Linked DNA regions of Xenopus tropicalis. The protein of the gene in region 1 interacts with the protein of each later gene in a pairwise test. Links are inferred from orthologs where the notes say so. Each region holds a gene or a part of one and is shown in the gene's direction. Other genes may lie near its edges.

Evidence for each region.
Region 2: the proteins of ngly1 (region 1) and rad23b interact in binary tests that used the Homo sapiens proteins (3 or more experiments, as listed by UniProt). The two-hybrid records come from large-scale screens. The link is inferred for Xenopus tropicalis from reciprocal best matches to the Homo sapiens genes NGLY1 and RAD23B.
Region 3: the proteins of ngly1 (region 1) and trafd1 interact in binary tests that used the Homo sapiens proteins (3 or more experiments, as listed by UniProt). The two-hybrid records come from large-scale screens. The link is inferred for Xenopus tropicalis from reciprocal best matches to the Homo sapiens genes NGLY1 and TRAFD1.
Region 4: the proteins of ngly1 (region 1) and ubxn2b interact in binary tests that used the Homo sapiens proteins (3 or more experiments, as listed by UniProt). The two-hybrid records come from large-scale screens. The link is inferred for Xenopus tropicalis from reciprocal best matches to the Homo sapiens genes NGLY1 and UBXN2B.
Region 5: the proteins of ngly1 (region 1) and gucd1 interact in binary tests that used the Homo sapiens proteins (3 or more experiments, as listed by UniProt). The two-hybrid records come from large-scale screens. The link is inferred for Xenopus tropicalis from reciprocal best matches to the Homo sapiens genes NGLY1 and GUCD1.

What each region holds. Positions count from the first base shown.
Region 1 is NC_030682.2:47,695,206-47,699,340, reverse strand, and holds the start of ngly1 (peptide-N(4)-(N-acetyl-beta-glucosaminyl)asparagine amidase), read left to right. Parts: upstream 1-1,323; 5' UTR 1,324-1,362; coding exon 1,363-1,469; intron 1,470-4,135. UniProt on the Homo sapiens protein: Specifically deglycosylates the denatured form of N-linked glycoproteins in the cytoplasm and assists their proteasome-mediated degradation. Cleaves the beta-aspartyl-glucosamine (GlcNAc) of the glycan and the amide side chain of Asn, converting Asn to Asp.
Region 2 is NC_030677.2:120,702,907-120,706,303, forward strand, and holds the end of rad23b (UV excision repair protein RAD23 homolog B), read left to right. Parts: intron 1-477; coding exon 478-613; intron 614-1,182; coding exon 1,183-1,310; intron 1,311-1,867; coding exon 1,868-2,050; intron 2,051-2,161; coding exon 2,162-2,275; 3' UTR 2,276-2,889; downstream 2,890-3,397. UniProt on the Homo sapiens protein: Multiubiquitin chain receptor involved in modulation of proteasomal degradation. Binds to polyubiquitin chains.
Region 3 is NC_030677.2:163,670,063-163,674,083, forward strand, and holds the start of trafd1 (TRAF-type zinc finger domain-containing protein 1), read left to right. Parts: upstream 1-1,209; 5' UTR 1,210-1,316; exon of another isoform or gene 1,317-1,577; intron 1,578-4,021. UniProt on the Homo sapiens protein: Negative feedback regulator that controls excessive innate immune responses. Regulates both Toll-like receptor 4 (TLR4) and DDX58/RIG1-like helicases (RLH) pathways.
Region 4 is NC_030682.2:116,311,669-116,315,698, forward strand, and holds the start of ubxn2b (UBX domain-containing protein 2B), read left to right. Parts: upstream 1-1,223; 5' UTR 1,224-1,312; coding exon 1,313-1,471; intron 1,472-3,756; coding exon 3,757-3,854; intron 3,855-4,030. UniProt on the Homo sapiens protein: Adapter protein required for Golgi and endoplasmic reticulum biogenesis. Involved in Golgi and endoplasmic reticulum maintenance during interphase and in their reassembly at the end of mitosis.
Region 5 is NC_030677.2:152,597,529-152,600,881, reverse strand, and holds the end of gucd1 (protein GUCD1), read left to right. Parts: coding exon 1-36; intron 37-937; coding exon 938-1,029; intron 1,030-1,500; coding exon 1,501-1,742; intron 1,743-1,971; coding exon 1,972-2,063; 3' UTR 2,064-2,838; downstream 2,839-3,353.

The sequences.
Region 1 (4,135 bases):
GTGACTTGTCCTCTTGCAACTATTTACATATTCCTATATAACATATAAGATTTTTAAATGTACAGGTATGGGACCTATTATCCAGAATGCTCGGGACCTGGGGTTTTCCGGATAAGGGATCTTTCCATAATTTGGATCTCCATAACTTAATTCTGCAAAAACATCATTGAAATATTGAATAAACCCAATAGGATTGTTCTGCCTCCAATGAGCACTCATTATACCTTAGTTGTGATCAAGTACAGGGTACTGTTTTATTTTTACAGAGAAAAAGGAAATAATTTTTAAAAAATTAGAATTATTTGCTTAGAATGAATTCTATGGGAGATGGCCTTTCCGTAATTTGGAACTCTGGATAACAGGTTTCCGGATAAGGGATCCCATACCTGTACCATGTTTTAAACAAAATAACTAATAACTGAAATGCCAAAGAGCCAATATATGGACCATGGGGACCTGTGGATTCTGGTAAATGCAGGAGGGGCTGCTGTAAAATTCCAGTCACTATTTAGTTGGCTGGTGGGGGGCTATTAGCACCTCTGTGTACTTTAAATGCCAGGGCCTATTTTGCATCCCAGTCCAGACCTGGTATGGACCTATAACTGCAACAAAATGCAGTTCTTTTTAATTAACCCTAACTCTATAGTTGTTCTTTTCAGGTGTGTGAAAACAGAAGGCTAGTTTTCTCAGTTCTCTTTGACATCAGCGAAAGTGATTTTGGGCATCTGGCAGCCATGTTTTGAATGTATAAAGGGCAAGTCAGAAAAAATGCCTGAATCTGCTGCTTTTCACAGCTTTGGGGTAGCCACATTTAAATGACTTGCTTGTTTATTTTGATCATTTATCCGAGAAGCTATTAAACATATGAAAACAAAAATGTTTATTCTATTAATATCCTATCAATTATGAATGAACACACTCAAGGCGATAACTCTACCCGCAAAATATTGAATTACCCTTCGGTCAATGACAAACCTATTCTGTAGCAGTAAAAACGCTGCTATATACAAACTGAATACACCAGTAGAAAGGAGCAGTCAGAGTCAAACTCCTAGCATCCTCCATCAGCTGGAAAGGGTACTGAAGACCCTTGGGGCAAAGTTTCCCTTTACTGAATATAGTTTGTGTTGTTTTCTCTAATACTGATTAAACAGACGTTATCCTTTGAGTGCAGTTCTGCTGAGCTGACCCAGGTCCCTACCAAGTACCTGCTATGCCGGCGCGCCACTGTGACTTCACTTCCGTGTTCAGCTCAGGGGCGAAAGGGCGTGTCTCCGTGTTTTGCCTCGCCCCCTGCTACCAGTCACCGAGGGTATTCTCTAACCGGACTTCCTACTATCCCTGCTACTCTGCTCTGGAGCAATGGCAGCGCTGGACTCTCCGGCAGTGGCTGAGCTGTGCCAGAATGAGCGGCAGGAATTCTTGGACGCTTCCCAGCTGCTGCTCACCTATGCGGACAATATACTGAGGTGAGGGGAGCAAAGGGTTACTGGGATTAGGCTCATTCTGTGCGGCTGGCAACTTCTGCCACCCTGGGACGCATGCGCCAATCAGATTATTAACCTTTTGGTATTCTGATTACTATGACAACGAATAGAATAAGTGGAATTGGACATTTTACCTAAATGGCAGGTGTCTCATGCCCAAACACAGGAAGGAGTTCATCAGATGGCAGTGTTTGCTCTGGTTCTTGTGGAAACTTGTCATCTTAATATAAGGGGTCATCTTAATTTAAGGGGTCTATTCTTTTTTTACTTCTGAACATGTATAAAAGTTGTCCCCCTTTCTGTCTCACCATAAGAAGCCATTGTTATTATGTAGTCATATGTGATCCACCAATCAGGGCACTGCTAGTCCCCCAGCAAGAGACCTTACAGGTGTTGCTCTATTGACTCATTTGACTATGATGTGATATCATGGTGATATTTTTGTTATTACCTAGAAAGGAAGTGACTCTAGTGTCTTATTTTAGATTTTCCTTTCTACTATTTGCAGATATCTGTAATATCTACTATTTCTTGCAAGTACAGCATAGCAAGTTCATTAATTGGAACCTGTCATCCAGATATCTGTATAATAAATTAAACATGAAACCCACATTCTTTTTTTTATTATTAAAACTTCCATACCTAAACTTTATTCAGAATCCCAGCTGTCAATCATATGTTGCCTTCCCTCCCATGCGTCAGGCTCAGCAATCATTTTCACTTTCATTTCTGCCCTTCCTAGATGACATTGCACTCTTCACATGCCCCCTCCCTTCTGTCTATAACTGCATAGCCTATGCATGGGCATCAGGTCCCACTTTCTAGGACATAAATTACATTTTGATTGATACAAAGCTTGCCTTAATAACAGTTTCCACAAAATGGTGCCTACCTGAATGCTTTAATGTGGATTCCAAAAAAAAATAAAATAAACAAGATTAAATGGATATAGTGTAAGTAAAAGTTATTTTGCTCAATTAATGTAGTAAATAGGGTTTGTATTTATTCCTTAAGGTGCCTGGTTCGTGTTAAATCCCAGTGCACGCACACCAATCTCATGCAAGGAATAGCTTAGAAACTAAAGTAAGATGGTGGAGCATTGTTCCCCAGCCAAGTACCTGACTGGTGAATATTTTATTTAAAAAAGATGCCCCAGTGTAGGGCAGCAGTTTAGCATTTTTGTAAGCTACATGGTTCCTAACAAATTAGGCATCATGTAAAGCTTTGTCAGAATTGGAGATAAGAAGCTCATAGTACAGAGGGCATCTAAGGGCTCTGGCACACGGGGAGTTTAGTCACCCGCAACAAATCTCCCTGCGAACAGGGAGATTTGCCGCGGGCGACTAATCTACCCGTGTGCCAGAGCCTTTAAGGACTAGACAATTTGTTCAGTTTTCTTCTCCTCCTTAGACAGTTGCTTCCAAGAACTAAAGGAAGTTGGACAGTGAAAGAGGTTTCTGTTTTAAGCTGGCCATACACGCACCGATAATATCGTACGAAACCTCGTTTCGTACGATATTCGGTGCGTGTATGGCATGTCGGCGAGTCGACCGATATCGCAGGAAGCTGCTGAAATCGGTCGACTCGCCGATCGGCCAGGTTAGAAAATTTTGATCGGGCGCCATAGAAGGCACCTGACCAAAATCTGCCGTCAGGGCTGAATCGGCAGAAGGAGGTAGAATCTTATTGTTTCTACCTCCTTATCTGCTGTTTCAGCCCTGACGGTGTGTGGCGGATCTGACGATGTTTTGTGCGACCTTCAAGCAGTAGTTAATGTGTTTTATTGCTCATACAACCAGTTTCAGGCTCACGTGCCCATTATCAAGTGTGTATGTAAGGCCGAAACATGTTGGAGCAATGAAACACACAGCAGGATGATTCGGCTTAAAAAGTCATTCTTTTTCTAATTTTGCTTTTATCTTTCCTGATTATAAGAATATGCAACACATATGTTCAGAGCGTTGTATGTCAGTTTGATTAAGGGTAGTGTACCATTTATTAGCTCAGTCCACTGTGGGAGTGCCGGAGAATTGGGGCTCATCTATTTCATAATTATTCACTTTTTTGCATAGGACATAACGGATCGTAGGGGTGTTCTAGATTTTTGTAAGGGCATTATCTCTCTTAAGCAGGTCTCTGGAGGTATTTATCCAGGGAGGGATAAGCACTCCTTAATGTAGCAGGTAACGTCCAGTTTGTTGCTATCCAGGGGTATTCCCAAATCAGGTGAAGGAATCCTGCCTCTCCCATACCACATTTTAAACATTTGTCTCCTTCTAGCCTGCCCATAGCCTTAAGCCTCAAGGGCATAGTGTAGATTTGATGGATAATCTTAAATGGAACAATTCTGTCCAGTTATCTGTTGCTTCTTCCCATTGTTCTTCATCTGAGGGGATAATAGATAAGACTTGATCAGAGGTCTGAATATTTTTGCAAAACTAATTTTTCTCTTTCTCATTTTTGTGCTGTGGATCTCAAAACTGTACTGCACAGAAGGGCATGTTAGATTTTCACCCTTGGTTTGAACAAACCAATTTTTTTTTCACTTGTTTCCTTGCTGTAGAGAAATTGAGCAGACTGGGGGCATTAAAAATCAGTTGAAGCACTGGATCTGCCCCACAGTCCTGTATTTGGACAGATGGTCTGTA
Region 2 (3,397 bases), on another chromosome or scaffold:
GTGTTATGCTTTCAGTAAGTTCTCTATTCTGAGTTGGACTTTCAGACCAATTTTTTTTTTTTAGATGTCCCTGATGCAAGCCCCCATATCTATTAGGCAGGTGTATTACTTTTTGTACTATGTCTGCATGGCCTCCATTTTAGATCTTCTCAATGTACCTTGAACTTTTAAAGAATTTTCTGTGACTCATTCAATAGACCAAACCTAGATCTAAGTTTACATTTTTTGTTTCTCACAAATTTTAAACCTATTATGGGAAGGAGAGGTGATCAGCCTTCAATAATTTTAAGGACAAATATTAGCCCTAACTGTTGGGCAAAGGTTAGCATATCAGCCACCCATTATGTCTTTTTATATAAAAAATAATGTGGGTAACATATTCTTTTTGTAAGTTCTTGTAGTAATATATCATTATGGATATTGCTATGAAATAAAATGCTATTTTCTTAGTTGCAATTTGTATTTTTACCTTAACAGGGAATCCCTAGTGATCGTGAAGGTCAGGCAGTTGCAGAACCTCCCCAGACTTTAAGCAGTACACCTACTCAGCCTCTTCCCGCTGCGGCAGGTGCAGCTGCAACGACTACTACACCATCTACACCCTCAACGGGAGGTGAGACCTCTAATCAATTAATCAGCATGTTAAGCATGTGATTACATTAATTATGCTAGATGTGTCAAGAATATTTTTTTTTTATTCTAAGATAGGACAGTTTTTTGTTTTTTTTTTAACTAGAAATTTTTACTGTCACAAAAAATGAGGGTGGGGTAATGGCACATGGGGCTACTTCAGTTGGGCTGAACACTTAGGCAGTTTCCTGTCAGGAAGGCAGCCTGTCACCAACTGCACTAGAAAAACATCTGGTGTGCCTTGGGCCTTTATGAGCTCTGCTTGGACATATCTTTGATAACTGTTGAAACTGTCATGAAAAAGGTATGGGCAAGAGAATTACTGGATGTTTACCAATTACATTTCTTGGCCCCAACTTCTACCTTGATTTTTTTTTTTTTCTTATTCTGCTTTGGGTTAGAATTTATTTATGTTGGTCTTGTCTGTCTGTGTCTCATGAAACAACAGGAGAACAAATAAAATTGTATCTTGTCCCTGTCTTTTGTCTTAAGGTGATATAAGGATTGCTTTGTGTTATAGGTACATTATTTATTCATTTATTTTATTTCTAGGAAATCCCCTTGATTTCTTGCAGAATCAGCCTCAGTTTCAGCAGATGAGGCAGATCATTCAGCAGAATCCTTCCCTATTACCAGCACTTCTCCAACAAATCGGTCGGGAGAATCCCTCACTACTGCAGGTAGTTTCATTGGCCTTCTATTTATTTGCTCTAAGCCTCAGGACACAAGTGTACTTTATTGGTTGCGCTTTTTAGTAAGAGGCTGGTCAGTTGACTGATGCCAGTAAATTTGGCTTCATTTGATGATCACCCTTTAAATGATAGTAATACATATAATGTCTTGTATGTATTTTACATAATGTATAATTGGTGTTTGGAAACTGCATTATTTTTCAGTTTTGTTTTTTTCTGGAGCGCTTCCTTAATATGTGTTAGGCTTTAGTGAGCAAAAGCTGTGTATAGCTTTGTTTAGACAACAGATAAGCAAAGGGTGCAGTAAACTATAGTTAAAATGCAGTTTTCTTTTATTTAAAAGATAGAAATAGCTACTATGCTAATTTAATTTTTTTTGTGTATTTCAAAATTAGCCTGACATCATTGGAATGGTTTACATTAATTCTATGTTCTTTTCCTGGGGTTGAACAAGAAATGCATATTAAATTGTCTTTCTGCTTACAAAAAACCTGAAATATTGTAGACAACTAAAGATTAAAAAAAAACAAACAATTTCTTTGCAGCAAATTAGCCAGCATCAAGAGCAATTTATTCAGATGTTAAATGACCCAGTCCCAGAAAGTGGGGGGCAAGGTGGAGGAGGAGGCGGAGGAGGTGGAGGTGGAAGAGGCATTGCAGCAGAGGCTGGAAGCGGTCATATGAACTACATTCAAGTCACACCTCAGGAAAAAGAAGCTATAGAAAGGGTAAGCGAATGATCAACTGGATATAGCCATGGCATGTTGTAATATTATGTATTGCATTGTCCTTGCTGAGGATTATTTGTACTCATGCAGTTGCTTCTTTTTGTAATTTAGCTAAAAGCACTAGGATTCCCTGAAGGACTTGTGATACAAGCTTATTTCGCATGCGAGAAGAATGAGAATTTGGCTGCCAACTTCCTTCTACAGCAAAACTTTGATGATGATTGAAAAGAAGAGACTGTATTTTTTGTATCTCACTTCACACCAGTGCATTACACTAACTTTGCTCACTGGATTTACTCGGATGATTTGGGTTCATATCCACAATATTCGGTGTATGGTAGTAACGGGGGGTGGGAGGGCTCGGGAAATATTGGAAAAATTAGGTAATGAAAATGCATACAACTGCTTTAATTAAGCAGTAACAGCAATCCGCTTGTATTATAATACAAAGGAATTAAACCTATACAACCAAAATAAAGCTTCAGCAGACAAAGTTTATTTTCTTTTAAGCATTATATGTTTGCCTTTACTAGTATACTTCAATCCAGAAATTTAGTGTAATGCCCTGCTTCCTTATTTCATTTAAACTTAAAAAAAAGGTGTTAGTAATAATCTGTGGTTTTTGTTATGTGAACCTTTTGGTCACCGAAACCTTGGATTATTGCTATAGGGCTTTAAAGAAGTTTGCAAGTTGTAAATGCCAAAATAAACATAGATGATCATCTGCTGCTTTACAAAAAATCTATGTATGAAATTAGTGCACAGAATTTTTTAACATGGTAATCCTGTGAAAGTCAATTCAGAAATGTTTCCTTCCAATAAAACAATCTTCACTGATATTTACAAACCTGGTCATTGAGTGAATAGTGCTCATACGCACGCAGGAGGTTATTTTTGTTTTATGTGTTTTTTTTTTTTTCTGTTTTATTTTTTCTTGCAGATTAAGGATTGGCTCCAATTAGCTTTCTAATTGCTAATTTCTTCAATGTTTAAATTGCAGTAAAGTTTTTAAAACAACTGTTGCATGTTCTGGTTTCCCACATGGTGTGTTAAGTAACATTTACTCCGCAATTATTTCTTTTTAATGAGAACGTGCAGCCTTCTCTACCCGTCTCGCACGTTTAAATCTGTATTTAGCCCTTTATCACATCCATTACTTTGTGAAACAGTACACCACCACCAAAAAAGAAAACCCCAAATAGCCAGATGACTAAAACAAATACATTTGTTTGTAAGCAGGGATTTTTCATTTTTTGCACTCTGTAAAAATTTGTAAACTCATACTTAGCAAATGATTTTCTTCACTTGAGTGACAGTTCTTCTGCTTTAATGAAGCTGGCATGGCAG
Region 3 (4,021 bases), on another chromosome or scaffold:
GGCAGGGTAGGGCAGGCAGAGTATGGCACACAGAGGCAGCATAGGGAAGGCAGAGTATGGCACACACAGACAGCATAGGACAGGCAGAGTGCTGCCTGTGTGTGCCATACTCTGCTTGCCCTATGCTGCTTGTGGGAGGTGAACCTGGCAGGGGGTTGTTGTGGGAGTTTGTTAGCAGTTGGAAATAGCCATTAAATGGTCCCTAAGGTGTGTAATTATGTACTGGGGGTTGCTCTGCTATCCACAGGGGAGGAGGAGGCATATGGAATTTAAGGGTATATCTTAATATGACATAATTCTTTCACATACGAATGATGGTTGATATCCCCACAGTAAGGACCAAGCATTTGGGATTTTGCTGTGCTACCACCATTGTGATAAAATAGGTGTGGTTTGAAGTGGGTGTGGTTTCAAAAGGGGGAGTGGTCAAAACTGGCTTCCATTAGCGGCCCTCCACCATGTATGCTAGAGAAATTCCGGCCCTCGGCACCGTAGAAGCTGGACAGCACTGCAGTAAGTCAAAACATAAATTCATGGTTATCAGACTACTACACGTTAGCACATAAAAGCACATATCTGATTGGTTACTATGAATAACCGCAGTGGCGCAGTTTAGCACTTGGTATTAGTAAATTAGCTTCTGGGTTTTTCTGCATTGAAGGAAGTAGAAAATAGTAGGGTCACCAGCAAAACTTGTAGGTCCCTCTCTACACATATATAGAAGTGTAGTGCAAAATGATCTGTCATATAAACATTCTGAAAGCAGGTGTCAAACGGGATCCCCCATTTGCCCCCTTGCCCCCAGCAACCACAAGGCACCACAATCCTCAGGCAAGACTATGCTCTCTGTTCAGAAGAACAAAATAAGTGCCTTTACTTCATTTTGCTCCAAAAGTTCAGTGAAAATTATCACAATAACAGCTGGATATGAATACACACAGATTCATATTTAACAATTATTTGCATGTATTTGTTTATATTCATATTTTGAATGCAAGCAGAAGCAATCATGATTTTCCATCCGCAGAAGAAAAATGAAATAGGAACCACGGTACACATACTCAGAACAACTAACATAAGTAACATTTCTATGCCCCTCCTAGTGTTTGCTAAATCTATTACAAATCAGCCAATCAGCAGATAGAGGTGGGGCTGAAAGTGTGATATTGAATGACGTCTCTGGCGCCCAATTGCAGGCCGGGCATTACCAGAAGACGAAGTATGAGGAAGTAGCCTCCCGGGTGAGTGTTGTGTTCATTTGGGAAGTAGTTCGGTGACAGCCGCTTATCTTGTGTCCGGGTGTTCGTGAGACGCTGGTAAGGGCTAAAACGGGGCGAGCTGACGGGATTTTTGCTTCTCTTTCTCTCGCTGCTTGGCTGCTAGACATATCTATCGCTTCTAAGGTGCCCATGTAATACCCCTTGTCCGGACAAAGACTTTGCCATCTGCCCCTCTGCTTATAGACTGATCTTCACCGGCTGAATTGTAACGATCGGGAACTACAGGATATATTTGCTTCCTTACTCATTTCGAGGGGGACGCCAAGCACAAGCTCAGCCAATGGCCGGCACATAAGTGTGTTTATTTACTCTTCTTTTGTCTGCTGATGCCAAGACCTGTAACAGAATCACCCTGAGAATTCAGAATATCATCGTTATCCCGCACCGCTGCTTAGTGCTCACTATTTGTCACATTCTGCATTTATTACAGATAATGGGTGTAGATTCTGTAGTAACTCATAGCGTCAGAATTTGGCTTCCACTAGCCTTGCAGCTGTTGGGCAAACACAGCTATTAGGATGAAGACATACTGGGCTACTGGCAGCAGCTACTTGTCAAGGCAACTAAACACCATACTGAGAATTGCCTAATTTGCCTCTGCTAAAGCACACATGATCTGATCAATTATCAGTAAATGATCAGCATTGTCTTTTTTAGTAGCCACAACAAGTAGCTGCTTCTAATGGCTCCATGTGTTGCTAGGGATAATAAGCCAGTGTACACTAACTCCAGTTTTGTTAGGTAGTATGTAAGAAAAGACTTATTGTACATGAAAAAAGCATCACATAAGGCACTATATGTCTTCCTTGCTAATCCATTAGGGCAGGGGTACACGGGGAGATTTGCCATAGTTTCCTCTCAAGGCAACTTCCGTGACTTCGGCAAATTGCGGCACTGCGTATGCCATCCCACTGGCGATTTACATTCTAGCCGGTGGGATGGCATTTCGTGGAGATTAGTCGTCCGCGACAAGGGGGATTTGTCCCTGTCTGTCACAGCTCTAAAGGACTTAGAATGGTACATTCAAGTTGTCCCATATTTTATTAAATATGTGTATAATGGTTATAATGTGATAGCGTTGTTTTAAGTGGGTGAGGCCTTTGTATTGGGTATTATTAGCATGCAAAGGAGTGGTAAAAACACCTAAGGATTGCTGAGCAAGGAAATCCTAGTGCAAGTATATTTAGTTTCATTTCCTTTGAATTGTAGCGTGTCTGTAATTGTAACATGACACTTACATATTAACATTTGCTCTTTTCCTACAGGAGAAGTAGAGCAAAGTTTGAAATAAAACGGAATATATACCTTTTAGCAAGCTTATGATATGGCTTAGTTATATCTTGGTTATATATATATTTTTTTTTGGTTGTTCCATGAGGGAGTTTTCTTAATGCTTATTCTTTTCTAGATACACTATGAGTCATTAAGGGTGTATACTGTCTGCTTGCAAACACTCCCAGTTTTTGCTGCTTTCCACTGCCTGATGTGGTTCTCGCTCAACAGAATTTTCCAACCTTCATATCCGATTTGGGTCAGGATGCCATTGTTTTTGGCTTCACTTGTAGGCCAATATATCGCTGACTTGCCAATATATAACTAGCTTGAAGCTAAATATATACACCCTGGTATTATTTCTATACTTTATTTGACTTTTCCTTGATCCCAAGCCTCACTTATTCTTGCTTATTGTAAAAGTATTAAGCACTTGATTGTGTGTCTTGTGAAACACATCATTACCATATCATTCCTGGATAATGTTAAAAGGGTTTTTCACCTTTAGGTTAAGACTTACCGGTAGTATGTTATATAGTGTCCCATTCTTACCAGCTTTTCACTCGGTTATCATTTTGTATTTTTTATAGTTTTTGAAGTATTTGCCTTCTTCTTCTGACTCTTTCCAGCTTTTGAATGGGGTCACTGACCCCACAGCCAAAAATGATTGCTTTGCGAGGCTACAATTTTATAGTTATTTTAACTTTTTATTACTTATCATTCTATTAAGGCCCTCCTATTTAAATTTCTGCCTCTTTCAGGCCACTGCCTGGTGGCTAGGTTAAATTTGAACAGCATAGATACTGGCACAGCAAGGCAATTATAAGCAGGTAAAACCTGCACGTTTATTTAGTGCAACACAGTAACGTTTCGGGGTGAACCCCTTCGTCAGACGAAACGTTACTGTGTTGCACTAAATAAACGTGCAGGTTTTACCTGTTTATAATTGCCTTGCTGTGCCAGTATCTATGCTTTTCGAGATTGGATTGGAGGGTGCCGTTCCCTCTTTATACCGGGCACCAGGCTAAAAGTTTTTTCTTTTGGAGGAGCCAGGGTGTGCTGGTGAGTTTTTCTTTATCCACATTACTAGGTTAAATTCGACCCTAGCAACCAGATTGCTGCTTAAATTCCAAATTGGAGAGCTGCTAAGCAGAAAGCTAAATAATTCAAAAACCGCAAATAACAAAAAAATAAAATGAATCGCAGAATTTCTCAGAATAGCCTTCTCTGCATCATACTAAAAGTGATTCCCAGTGTTTTGGCCCTCATATGGTTGGCATTTGGCAAAAACGCTCAAAATTTCCTCCCCATTGAACTGAATGACAATAGCGTGCACCCTGCTGGGGCAATTTGTAGGCTCATTTCCGAGAGATTTTTTCCTGACTTGCAAGTGCTCCAGCAGAGTATAGGTGGTTACCATCAAGGTCAATGGAGGGGTATTTTTCAACCCCACCTGTATAGAAATCCTG
Region 4 (4,030 bases), about 69 Mb from region 1:
CCAGTGGAATGGTGGCGCCTGCGTGCCCCAGTGTCCTGGGGGGCCCTTGGTGCGGGTGTGCCCGCCATCTGCCGGGCGCGACTTGAGTGTGCCTGTGCCGGGGGTTGGGTGTAAAAAACCTGAGGAAAAGGCTCCGAGATATATGATTCAGGTGGGGAGGGGTGGGGGGGGGGATGTGGGCTGTGTGGAGAAGAAATGGTCTGGTGACAGGCTGGGTGACCTAGAGAAAGCTTCCTCAAGTAGGAGCTCTCCTTCCTCAACCTCCTGTGAGACAGGGGCCGTGTGCCTCATGACTACAAGGGGCCCAGTGCTGCAGTGGGGGGTGGGGGTGGTGAAAAGGGGTACTTGGCTGGCAGGTACACTGGGCTGAGGAGCTGCCTCAGCTGTGGGGGCTATAGCGCTTTGCGCCTGGGGTGCTTGGGGGGGCCTACGTGTAGCCCTCTTCGCCTTATTAGAACTGGCGGAGGGCTTTTGTGTGGGGGCCGCATTGGTGGCAGTGGCGGAGCCGCGTGATGTCACGCGGGCCCCTGTCCTAACCTCCGTGCGCTGCCTTGCCGGCGCGGCAGTCGGAGGTTGGGAGGCAGCGGCGGAGGTCATGCGCCGGGTAGTCCTAGGTGGACTGGGGCTCAGGCGGGAGGGAGGGCGGGAGCGGCGAGGCGGTCGCCTACTGGCACTGCTCGCCGCTTGTATGCCTTGTACCTGTGTGTGGCTGCACCAGCTCCTCGGCTCCCTCGGCCGCTAGTCTGGCCCGCACCTGCTGGAGGAGCTCGTCGCTCATGGCAGTGAGCGGTCGCAGGCAGAAGGCAGATGAGGGAAGAGAGCAGATGATCCTACGTGCTGCGGCTGCTGCCAGTGAGTGAGATGCTGCAGGGTGAACAGTGAAGCAAGGGGGAGGGGGGAGCTGTAGGAGTGTACATTTTTTCCCCTTCTGTAACAGGAACCGTTAACCCCTCGAGTAGTGGAGGGAATTAGGCCCTTGCTATCTCCACAGTCCCTCAGCGCTTTCCTTAATCACTTCAGCGCTGTCCAGAATCCAGTGGCAACCTGACCGCTCTCTTCCAATGTAGGTTCACAAAGAGCACAACTCAGTGGATCATAATGAATGATAGCTCTGCACAGTGCCACCTATACACCGCACTCTCCGAGTGCAAGAGCACCCGGCCAGCGCTGCCCCCTTCCCGGGCCGGATCCGTTGCTATGACAACCCCCCAGCGTGCCTCCGGGCCCAGCCTGCCCGGGATACAATGGGTGACGTATTGGCTGTGACGAGTGACGCACGGTGCGGGAGCTTGGAACGGATTATTGATTAAAGATGGAGGAAAGAGAAAATTCAGAAGAAGGCGACGACGATGCGGGTGAAGAAGGGGAGGAGGACCAAGGATGTAGTGAGGATGGAGGAGAGGTGGGGGCGGAGAGAGAAAAAGAGGTGGAACTAAAGGACTCACTGAGGCCGTCAGTGCTGGACCTGCAGGTGTGTGACTGGCAAGGGGCTTCTGTCGGCTCACTTACATGCGTAGCAGTGCCGTAGCACTACAACAGGAATCCCTGTGCCCAGCGCTCTGTACTGTAGCACTACAACAGGAATCCCTGTGCCCAGTGCTCTGTACCGTAGCACTACAACAGGAATCCCTGTGCCCAGTGCTCTGTACCGTAGCACTACAACAGGAATCCCTGTGCCCAGCGCTCTGTACTGTAGCACTACAACAGGAATCCCTGTGCCCAGCGCTCTGTACCGTAGCACTACAACAGGAATCCCTGTGCCCAGCACTGTACAGCAGCACTACAACAGGAATCCCTGTGCCCAGCACTCTGTACCGTAGCACTACAACAGGAATCCCTGTGCCCAGCGCTCTGTACCGTAGCACTACAACAGGAATCCCTGTGCCCAGCACTGTACAGCAGCACTACAACAGGAATCCCTGTGCCCAGCACTGTACAGCAGCACTACAATAGGAATCCCTGTGACCAGCGCTCTGTACAGCAGCACTACAACAGGAATCCCTGTGCCCAGCACTGTACAGCAGCACTACAACAGGAATCCCTGTGCCCAGCACTGTACAGCAGCACTACAACAGGAATCCCTGTGCCCAGCACTGTACAGCAGCACTACAACAGGAATCCCTGTGCCCAGCACTGTACCGTAGCACTACAACAGGAATCCCTGTGCCCAGCGCTCTGTACCGTAGCACTACAACAGGAATCCCTGTGCCCAGCACTGTACAGCAGCACTACAACAGGAATCCCTGTGCCCAGCACTGTACAGCAGCACTACAATAGGAATCCCTGTGACCAGCGCTCTGTACAGCAGCACTACAACAGGAATCCCTGTGCCCAGCACTGTACAGCAGCACTACAACAGGAATCCCTGTGCCCAGCACTGTACAGCAGCACTACAACAGGAATCCCTGTGCCCAGCACTGTACAGCAGCACTACAACAGGAATCCCTGTGCCCAGCGCTCTGTACCGTAGCACTACAACAGGAATCCCTGTGCCCAGCACTGTACAGCAGCACTACAACAGGAATCCCTGTGCCCAGCGCTCTGTACCGTAGCACTACAACAGGAATCCCTGTGCCCAGCGCTCTGTACCGTAGCACTACAACAGGAATCCCTGTGACCAGCACTGTACAGCAGCACTACAACAGGAATCCCTGTGACCAGCACTGTACAGCAGCACTACAACAGGAATCCCTGTGACCAGCGCTCTGTACAGCAGCACTACAACAGGAATCCCTGTGCCCAGCACTCTGTACCGTAGCACTACAACAGGAATCCCTGTGCCCAGCGCTCTGTACCGTAGCACTACAACAGGAATCCCTGTGCCCAGCGCTCTGTACAGCAGCACTACAACAGGAATCCCTGTGCCCAGCACTGTACAGCAGCACTACAACAGGAATCCCTGTGCCCAGCACTGTACAGCAGCACTACAACAGGAATCCCTGTGCCCAGCGCTCTGTACAGCAGCACTACAACAGGAATCCCTGTGCCCAGCGCTCTGTACAGCAGCACTACAACAGGAATCCCTGTGCCCAGCGCTCTGTACAGCAGCACTACAACAGGAATCCCTGTGCCCAGCGCTCTGTACAGCAGCACTACAACAGGAATCCCTGTGCCCAGCGCTCTGTACAGCAGCACTACAACAGGAATCCCTGTGCCCAGCGCTCTGTACTCAGTGCGCTGCATTGTGTAACACTGCTGCTACACACAGGGTCACAGTTTGAGCCTGTACAGGGGCTGCCAGACAGGTGCCAGAGGGCATTTATATTCTCGCGTACCCTGCACAGCTATAGAAAAACATATTTGTTGGGCCCAGTAACTTCCTTCTGCCCCCTGCTTGGTTGTTCCCCTGGGCTTGGATATGGTAAATGCGAGCTGCCTCTGTGCCAAGAGATGGCAGAAATCTGCTTCGGTGTACCCCTGCTTTGCTAGATTTAAAGTCCAGCCTATTATTTCCGTTTTTCGTTAATGACAGATGCAATACTGTGACAACTGTGTGTTTATATGTCCTTTTAAAGGGGAACTAAAAGCCCTCTCCAGCATTGCTCCTACATAACACACCCAACTAATTTTGTAAAAACGAACTATTCCCATGTACCAGGTAAAAAAACAGAGATGGGCATAGGGTTGGTGTCTGCCATGTCTGGCCAGTTCCATGGTGTTGCCATTGTTGCAGGTTTATGGGTCTGGCTTAGTCATCTTTAAGGGAACTTTTAAAGGCCTGTGTGACACATTGTCACCACTGTATTTTCATTTTAGTTGGCACTGGCTCGACTGTGTGAGGATGAATACAGAGATCAGCCATCAAAAATGCCCGTTTTAGGGCTGCAAATTAATGAAGATCATTCATTTGAAAGGTAAAACTAAAAATTAATCCCAACTATCTATCTGTCTGTCTGTCTGTCTATCATCTTTAAATTCATGTGACATTGCAGTACAGACACGAAGTTCAGAATATTCCTATTTAATAATAACTAAAGTGCAGTTTTCTTTTAGGCTATTTATAAATGATGTGCAAGCCAAAACCATCAGC
Region 5 (3,353 bases), on another chromosome or scaffold:
CAGACTTTAGGGGTCGATAAAGGTTATAAGAACCAGGTTAGTGTGGCTGTTGAGTTACTTACAGGCACAAATAGTTGGGTACTAAGTGGTATAGTAATTTTCAGTGCATGGGTTATTGGCACCTAATATGTAGACTAGAAAGCTGTTGTATTGAATAAGGTAATATTTTCTAACTTAAATATATTGTAGGATAGCTGTTGACAGGAATTATACTGTATATACAGGTACCTGTGTACTATCCAAAATGTATTCATGGAGAAATTATCACTGTAGATGTGGATACAGATCATATTCAGTGCAAACACCTAAAGGCACATATGAGTTTCCCATAGATTTGGGAATAAAATGGCAATTTTGTTTTGCTATATAGATTAGGGTTGTCTTATCCTTTATATCCTATATATATATATATATATATATATATATATATATATATATCTGTAAAATCGTGAGAATTGAGAATTAATCCAGCAATCCTGCCTTGCTTTATGGATTTTAGATATAGATTTAAAATCAGTGCATTTGTCTTAATTTCCCTTTTACCATAAAGGTTAATTATATTTACAACGCAAGTCGACATGTAAAGTGGGCAGTAGAGTGAGGTGTATAGTGCTGGTTTTTCTATACCACGGGATTAGCTGCTGCAACCTCTACATAGAGCCAAAAGTTTCATAGCATTGCTTTCCAATAGTTCTGGTTACAGTGCAATGTGAAAAGTTCTAAAGCAGAAATTATTTCAGACACTTGTATTATAGGTAGTGATATTTCAGATGACTGAGGCCTGAATGTTGACTGTCATAAGCATGTTAGGCCTTATGGAAACATGAAGGAGAATTGTTGCTTCTGTAGAAAGCTTATTCAGAATCCAGAGGGCTTCTCCTAAATTTATGGCATCAGGGATTGACATGCTAGTTCATTGGCTACTCTCTTTTCTTAGTCATTCTACAGAAAACACTTTGATGCAGAGGAAAACAGAGTGAACCAGCTGTTTGCACAAGCCAAATCCTGTGGAGTGAATGTGGAAAAACGGTAAATGTACAGCCTTGATACCCGTTATCTATTTATTCAAAATCTAAAAATTAAAGGTATCAAAAATCTTCGATAAATCATGTGCAGTGACTATAAAATAGAATGAAGTGCAATACTGCAGATAGTCTGCATCGTTACTTAAACACAACTAGTTACCGTAGGGCTGTATCTATGGAGTTCGTTATGATACTGGTTATTTTTAGCAAGTAACATGAGCTAAGACATCAGTTCCTTTCTAGAACTGTATCTAGTTTGCATTGTTTTTTTACTTGTAAAACTGGGCAAATTGTTTGGGTCTCACCCCTGTATCTTGTATCAGTGGATGGTACCCAGTGTCAGGCTTCAGCTATTAATGTTGGTGATATCTGTAAATGGTTCGCATTCATTGCCCCTGTTTTCCTTGCACAAATGCAAACTATATCATTCAGTTTTCTAGCTTGCCTGTATAATATTGGCCCTTCCACTTTGCAGCACAGTGACCATTCAGGAGTTACAGGAGCATCTTTCCCAGGGACATGTGGCCATCGTACTAGTGAATGCAGTGCTATTACTGTGTGACCTGTGCCCCAGACGTGTCAAATACTGCTGTTTTCTTCCAATTGGGCAAAAGTGTTTCTGCAGGAGCAGTGACTACCAGGGCCATTTTATTGTGCTTTGTGGTTACAACAAGAGTTCTGGCAGTTTATTTTACAACAACCCAGGATATGCCGACAGTAAGTCTTACCCATGTGTTCCTAACAATTGCATCCTTCCTGTGTGATTTTTTTTTTTTTTTGCTTTCTAAACTTACAGTAAGCTCTTGTGAGCTGGACCTCCGATTCTGTTTCCTATTCTGTAACCCTTGTTTGTTAAATTATTGCACATTGGTTTGTTTTAAATAATTATTAAATACTGTGTAACTTACAGGCACTCTATAAATAAATGATGATTGTTTGCCCTTAGGGTTGTGTCGGACCAGCATCACTAACTTTGAGGAGTCGCGCAGCAGCTATGGCACAGATGAAGATATTCTGTTTGTTTATGTGAACAGCTGACCCCTGAACTCTGCATCAACTTTTTCTCAGGATCGAGTACAGCACTCAGCAGGAACCTCATTACCCACAGTCAACGCGATATAAAGATATTTATATATATATTCTGCTTAGAAGTTAAAATTAAAGCTCACTCTTGTGGTGGTGGAGTAGTAGTAGTCCGTGGAAAATTGGACCATCATTAATTTATCCCTTGCCACTTGGGAATTAATTTAAACCAAAAATATGGCTAGGATGGCCACTCATAATGGTCTGTTGGGTTCAGTTCAACTATTAGGATGGTAAGCAGGTAGCAGTTTCAGGAGGGAAAAATGTAGAAAGGGAACAGAATTGATCATGCAGCATTTACACTGTAGCCAACTTTGCTTGGGCAACTCTGAAAGCCTCTGTAGATATTCAGTGCTATCCATAGAACTGAACGGGGTTCAGTAGAAAGGATGAATGAATTGCCCATTCTTGCACTGATTGACCACATTTGCTCTGTGTCTAGCTGCACGATAGCCTTGTACGAACAGTGCTGCTATAGGGTCACTTCCACACTCAACCAGTGACCCTGGTTAGGAAATGTGTATGTGGGTACGGTTTTAATTTTTATACTTAGATGCCAGGGAAAGGTGTTGTCCGTATGGGTACTAATAACACTATCAATCTTAATTTATAGGGCTGATCCATTAATGTCTGATGTACTCAATACTATAGGGTGTGAAAACACTTTTCTGATGCAAGAGACCACAAAATGTTAATGTACAGTTTATAATAAAGATGGTTTTATACATACTGCAATGCTTCACTTTAGTTTGTCTACTTTAGTGGTCAGAATCATTTTTTTTTAACCCAAGAATAATTTTGAGATTATCAAGACACAAACACATTTTATAAGGTTTGTTAAGTTACACTGTGTAATATTAGTGTTATTCTGGGTCAATTCTTCAATTGCTGCTATTAATATGTAAGGGCTCTTACGTGTTTGTTTTTTTTAAATTCCTTAAGAAAAATTTGCTAAGAGCACAAAACTGCTTATATTGGATTTAAACACTTTAAAAAAAAAAAAAGTTTAATCGGTGTATTCAATAAGCAAACCACCCTGAATACTGATATACATTGAAGCCCAGTGATATCATATATAAGATTAAAGGGGTGGTTCACCTTCAGGTTAATTTTTTTAGTATGTTATAAAATGGCCTATCAATCTTGGCAATTTTTAACTGGTCTAAGTTTTTTAAATTATTTCCCTTCCTCTTCTGACTATTTTCAACTTTTGAATAGGGGTCACCTAAAAAAAAAACTTGCTCT